Linked DNA regions of Caenorhabditis elegans. The protein of the gene in region 1 purifies or fractionates together with the protein of each later gene. This does not show direct contact. Each region holds a gene or a part of one and is shown on either strand. Other genes may lie near its edges.

Region 1 (2,962 bases):
TCGATTACACCAAATCGATAGTTCTCTAAGTGCTCTTCGAGCCATTCCAATTGTGGCGGCTGCGAATGGCATTCTACCACTACCGACCAGCTCCGATGCAATTTCGGAACCGTGTCCGGGTGTTCCAAGTAGATTTTTGTCTGTTACCAATGCAGTGAGCTCGATGCGCCCAACGTCAATTCCTTTCAGTCCGATTGTTTCGTCACGTGTAAATTGAATCTTGTCGGTGGTTCCCAGTTCAGCTTCATCGAGTAGAAAGCAGGTTTTCTCTCCGTTGTTCTGAAAATAAATGTTAATTTAAAGAGAACAGAAATTCCTACTAACATTTCCGAAAACGACGTAAAAGTTGGCATTGTGATGACCCATAACTCGGATGTTCTGACCATTTAACATTGATTTTCCACCAGGTCCAGCTGTTTGTTCACAGACTCCTCCATTCGTATCTTTTACAATTGCAACCGCTGGTCGAAGCTTTCCAGACCCAAGAATTCCTAAATACTTGGACTTTTGTTCATCAGATCCATAAATTGTCAAAATGTTTGCGACAAGAAGAGAAATGTGTGAAGTTGTGTATACATTCCAATCTACACTGAGTTCTTCGAAAACTTTCGACAAATCCTTATTACACATGCCGATGCCGTCGAAATATTTTCCAATAGCCAAGGAAAAGATTGCATTCGAGCGAAGAGCTTCTATTGTATCTGAAGCTAGTTTCCCTTCTTTTTCTATTAATTTCGAGTCAACTGATAATTCAAGTGATTTCCGCAACACATCCACAAACCCTTCAATATTACGCACATCATCTGAATCTGTGTATTCTGGGTAGATCATGAAGTCCTGGAATGATATGTTCGCATAAACTTATATTTGCAAAAATTCAAACCTTTTCAAACTTATTCATAGCGAAACCTCTCGACAAGCTCCTCTTCTCGATAGACGAAGTATTGTCGAGAGTTCGAATAGCAAATTTACTGAAAAAAATAATAGTTTCATTATTTCTGAAAAAACATTACTGAATAATACCTTTTCTCACTTATACCAGCCACTTCTTTTGATTTTGCTGCATCACTGAGACATCTCACATTGCATTTATGCAGTTTTTGTAATCGGATCAACGCCCGATGCATCTTAATTTGAGTTTTAAGCAAAGAAACAGCGCTGAAAAATTCAAAAATAATATGGCCGGGAAAATTGTTTAGGGTAAAAATCGAGTTTTCTCGGCCACGGCCACGAAGTATTAACGCGCTAATTTCAAATTTTGAAGTATCATTTAATCACGCCCAGTCTCGTGGTGGACCCGTCCGGAAAAATCAACGTGCCTTTAATCTCGCGCATCTGAGTCTCTACTTTTTACATGTTCTCTCACTTGTGAAGAGTACGGTATCACGATTTCTAGACGCTCTAGGTTTTATTTTTATAATTTTGATCTAATATTAATGCGCACTGATCTGAATTTCGCCGCCAATTATTTTAACATGATTTTTCCTTGTTGACAATTCATATTCATTTCATTTTTTCACATCTACGAGCTTTTTCTTATTATTTTAATTTTTATCGTTCTCTCTTAATTTCCTCTCTATCTTTTATTTATCAAAATCGAATATTTCTTGCAGATGCTTGCGATTCCCAAAACTCCAACCAGGAACATGAAAACACCTCAGGGGAATACAAGCGCCAGCAGACGTGAAGTGGACACATCGATGAGGAATCGGTTCGAGTTTGCCGGATCTTCGCTCAGAGACAGGATTGGGTCAATTCTATCCATGGATCAGACCCCACGTCCGGCAACTCGCGCAAATATCTTCATGGGACGGACACCGACACCGGCCAGGCACCTTCCGGAGAGCCGAAGAATGTTTGTGCCGGATTACACTTCAACGCCTGCACCTACGGCTCCTCGACAGGAATTTCGCTTCGAAGACTTGTCTCGGATCGTGGCACCTCCAATTGAGCAAACCTTCATTCAGCTGGATTCCGATGGAGAGCTCACTCTTCCCGCTGAATCATCAATTGCAGTGTCTCCACCACCGCGACCATCTTCTGAGCCTCTCCGCCATCTCAGCCAAGTCTCGCTGTCAGCTCGCCCAGCTTCAACGGAGCCTGTAAGAAGAGACGTACACTGGAGAGTGCATCCTTCGGCAAAGGTTTGTGTTTAAGAAACAATAAATGTGTTCTAATAAAATGTTTTCAGATCCGAAAATGCACAGTGCCGAAGACACCATCCTTCGCGAGGCCAACGAAGTCGTGGCTGAACCGCGTTAATCGCGAAGACTGATCGCCAATGCGATGATTCCTGTTAATTTATTTTATTTCTTCATTCTTTGTTCAATATTAACTACTAACCCGGTCATTTTTTTCTGTAAATAAAACCGGTTGCTCAGCTAATTGATTTCACATCGGCACCGACGGCACCGATACATTTTAAGAATTTTAAATCGCGTATTCGGTTCAAAACCTTGAATGCAGTGTTCATACGCAAACAGGAATTTGACATGTAACCCGGATTCGCTGTTTGTTTCGTGCACAATGTGGACACATTTCTTGTTGTCATCAGAAACATTCTCAGATAAACGTTTTCGCTTCTATTTAGAAGAAAAAAGCAGATATATTTAGAAATGGCGCTAGCTCCCAACACGACATAATTAGAAATGCTTTTTCATCTAAATAGCAGAGCTTTTTAACTAAATAGGTCTACTCTTTTCTAAATATAAGCGCATTTTTCTTCTAAATATGTCTACTTCTTCTAATTAGAAATACTTTCTTCTTCTAAATAGTTCTACTCTTTTCTAAATATAAGTGCGTTTTGCTTCTATTTAGACTCGGTTTTCGCCTCCTATATAGACTCGGAATTTTTAAAAGTGAATTTTTGGAAAATGTGATTTTGGATTCCGGAAAAAAAAAAAGATTTTCTATTCACGTTCAGCTCCCCTGCCGACCCTGTTCGTTCACTTTTTCCACAGGT
Region 2 (3,758 bases), 1.5 Mb from region 1:
TTTCGAGATCTTCAATCATGGAGACGTAATACAAACGTTGTTCTGAAACAAGAACCGTAAAAACTGAGTAATATTAAAAATTAAATGTTACCCTCCAATTCTTCGCTCGATCGATTTTCACTCTCCTTGCTGCTCAACTCGAGTTCAGCAATGCGTTTTCTCGAAGCATCAATATGGAGAAGCAACTTATCGAGTGTTAAGTTGTTTGCTGTCACTTTCTCCTTGTATCCCTCGGCCACTGCTTCGGACTTCCTCAGACTCTCGGATACAATGGAAACTCTGAAAAAGGAAACACTTGATAGTGAGAGAAATATATCAAATAAATCTTACTCTTTTTGCAATGCAACAATTTCTCCCTGAAGCAATCGTTCCGTCTCGATTGACTTTGACGTTGCCTCTTCGTGCTTGTCTTTCAATGAGCTCAGTTCACAACTGAGCTTCTCGTTTTGACATTGTAGGTCGAGCACGGCATCCTCCGAGGTTTCGACTTCAGCGAACAAAGCCATTCGTGCAGGTGAAGGTCTGTATTGGGTCTCCCGGCGTTTGGGTCTCGAACTGCTCCTCCTCTCCTTTGCCGACGGTGTTTGCATCAAGATTGTCGCGTCCAGATTTTCCTGATAGCGATTTCGCAGAGCACTTGTCTCCTTTTGCAGCTCCTGGTATCGCTTCTCGCTGGCTTCGATCTCCAATTGGAGCTGAAAATTCTCATATTTACACAAAATGATGAGAATAATTAACATACCGTTTGATTCTTCAGAGCTATGCATTCGAATGGAGAACTGCTATTTGCGGCACTGAATTCACTGATGATCTTCTTGAACTCGTTAACAATCTGTTCGTTTTCTGATCCGATCGTGTACTTCAGAAGAGCAAAGTCATACTTTGCACGAAGATCGACGTTTTCCAATCTCAAGGAGTTGTTTTCTGTCTTCAGTCGAAGTTGTTCAACTTCGGCTTCGTCCAACTGTGATGCGAATTCCGTCCGAACCTTTTCCCGCGTTTCGTCAACCTCTTGGCGTAGTTCTTGAATGGCTTTTTTGTAGCTGCTCTCCTGGTCGCCGGTCATAACTTCATTTCGAGTGGCAATGTTCATGATCATCGTGCACGACTGAGCGAACATCAAGGTGGAGTTGCTTTCCTGTGCAAAATCACGATCCGGGTGCATATTAACGATAACAGCCGTCTTTGAATTGCCACCAAGCGAGTTCTTCAGAATATGAGTGAGATGAGAATCGCGGTATGGAACGTGTCCTTTAGCTTTCGAAGGATCGGCAAGAAGACGGATGCAACGGCCTAGCACTGTCAGAGATGAGTTGATATTTGTCGCTTCTTTCAGTCGATCTCCGCTTGATTTTGTATGCGTCTGACGCTCCGATCCCGCCAAGTCCACAAGGTTCAGGATAGATGACCTTTCCTTGACTAGCTCTCCTGTTCGCTCCTGCGTTTTGATCCTGATGATGAGCAGCGCGTGTGATCTTGACGATTCGGCATTCATTGCAGTCGAGCCAGTGCTTCTTTCCTGCCAACCTTTTTGGACCAAATGCATCAAGTCGAGCGGGTTATCAACGTTTTTCGACAAGGCTCCAACAAGCTGAATGTCCTTTCCCGAATCTCTGAGTTGGACTTTGTTCTTCGCATTCAAGAGGTCGTAGATGACTTCGTTGTAGAGTTCAACAAACTCAACAGAAACGGAGAACGTCAACTTTTGACACTCTTTAGCCTTCGTGTCCAGATGCTGGAAAACGTGTTCCACTGATCGAGGGATGAGCCCCATAAGTTCTTGGTCAGTCCATGAATCGCAAGGACCAAGCATTGTATGGGTTTTTCCAGAACTGAAAATCGAACTTTCATTTCTCAAACTACATTGGAAGCACTTACCCTGTCTGTCCATAGGCGAACACGGTCCCATTATAGCCTTCCACACAATCCTCGACAATCTTCTTCGCGACTGTTCCAAAGACGTCCTCCTGTGATGAAGAGCTATCAAAGATATGATGGAGCTCATATCTTTTGGATCCATTATCAGTTTCAATCGTCACAACGCGTCCTCCCACAAAGAGAGACTCGGAAGGTGCCCCAAGCCGTGCCGACGGGCGTACCCTGCCGTAGCACTTGATGTACTGCGACATTCTGAAAATGAGAAATTATTTGAAAGCGTAATAGTAAAGCGGTGAATGATTGAAGAAAGGAAAATAAATCATCAATAACACGATGAAGAAAATAGCACTATCGACTAGATTTTATGAATTTAAAGAACTTCGGGCATCGCTAGTTTAAAATTAAAAAAATCTCGAGCTGGAAAATAAAAGGATCACTATAAATTTGAGAAAAATTCAAGAGAAATGAAAAGTTTCATATTTTTAGGACAAAACCTAGAAAAAATCAAAATTTCGCGCCTCCGCGGCGGATTCTGCGCGTTCGCTACGAGACCGAAATACGTTTAGTTATGCTCCTTCAAATGTTACGGTATCAAAAATGTTTTCAGATGTAGTTTCTTTTTGCCCAGAAATTCATGCTTTCTACATTTTAAAAGCTTTAATACTCTCATGTACACTAGATTATAATTTTCAACACTTTCGATAAGGTAAATGCAAAAAATCTTCATTTTATTTGTTTTAATTCTTATTTTTCAAAAATTAAACTAAAGCGCCTTGTGAAAGGGAGCGCACTTACACTCACAAGTCTCGTGCGAGAGAGTTGCGAAATCGCGTGCCAAGCTTGCATTTTGACTCCTCCCACACAGTTCCACGCGAAAACGTTGAAACAATTTTTTTTTTTGAAAATATTTTTAAAATGGGTACACTTCATGGCGAGAAAACTATGTTCGCTTCGCCAAACACCTTCTATATCGATGAATCGAAGTTATGCTTTAATAAGACCCATTTCAATCGAGAAGATTTTAATGTGGAACGATTTATGAACTTGGCAAGGCAGTGAGTTTTTATTTCAAATGAAATGGAGAATTGAAAATTGGTTTTCAGAAAATCTGATCTCAAAACAATTCAGCAGGATCTACGCCTCTACTTGAAAAGTGTTCAAAATTCAATGATCGAGCTTATCAACGATGATTATGCGGATTTTGTCCATTTATCGTCAAACTTGGTCAGCCTCCAAGACTCACTAAATAAAATCGAACAAGATATCAATGTAAATTTAGAATTTATTTTTACAAAACGTCGAATTTAAGTTTTAGAGAATATGGGATGAATTCAAGGAGTCGACAAGAGAATCTGTTGGTATGGCTGAAAGAATCGAGCAAAAATGTGATGAGCTTTGCTCAAATCGAGAAAAACAAATTGAAATTCGGGATCGCATTTATTTTCTAGTTGCCATAGAAAAGCTATCAGAAATGTTATTGCATCCTCCTCGAAAATGCTCTGCTTTGTGGTAATATTTTTCATTTATTAAAAAAAAATATTACAATTTTTGCAGGTTACAAAAGGCAGCGTCCTTCGCATCAGAGCTGAAGGGTTCCACGTTTCCCCATTCGGAAGAGGAAAATGCCGCTGAAAAGATAATTCTATCTCAGCTGGAAGCGGTTCTCTGTGCAGAAGGAGTTCGAAGTGCCGCCGGTGATTGTCAAAATCTTCCTCTCATTTATTCAATTTTATCGTTAACGGAGAGTACGCATTCACTAACTGCCCTCTTGGTTTCTGATCTTTTGTATGCCGAATTTGTAAATGAGAAACACGACGAAAGTAATCAGTTGAAACTCTTGAAACAAGTCTTCGAAAGCGTCAAAAAAATGCGTGAAACTT

What was found. Proteins that work in one complex are often made in the same cells at the same time.
Region 2: the proteins of mesp-1 (region 1) and klp-18 purify together in Caenorhabditis elegans (affinity purification with western blotting, with the first as the bait; one study listed by BioGRID). This does not show direct contact.

What each region holds. Positions count from the first base shown.
Region 1 is NC_003282.8:8,497,697-8,500,658, forward strand, and holds mesp-1 (MEiotic SPindle), read left to right. Parts: upstream 1-1,613; 5' UTR 1,614-1,646; coding exon 1,647-2,144; intron 2,145-2,191; coding exon 2,192-2,275; 3' UTR 2,276-2,380; downstream 2,381-2,962. Other genes in the region: acdh-13 (Acyl-CoA dehydrogenase family member 9, mitochondrial), read right to left, coding at 1-279, 325-837, 884-971, 1,024-1,127.
Region 2 is NC_003282.8:7,038,583-7,042,340, reverse strand, and holds the start of klp-18 (Kinesin motor domain-containing protein), read right to left. Parts: upstream 2,131-3,758; 5' UTR 2,130-2,130; coding exon 1,879-2,129; intron 1,833-1,878; coding exon 743-1,832; intron 696-742; coding exon 331-695; intron 280-330; coding exon 92-279; intron 43-91; coding exon 1-42. Other genes in the region: cogc-2 (Conserved oligomeric Golgi complex subunit 2), read left to right, coding at 2,794-2,933, 2,982-3,147, 3,194-3,387, 3,433-3,758.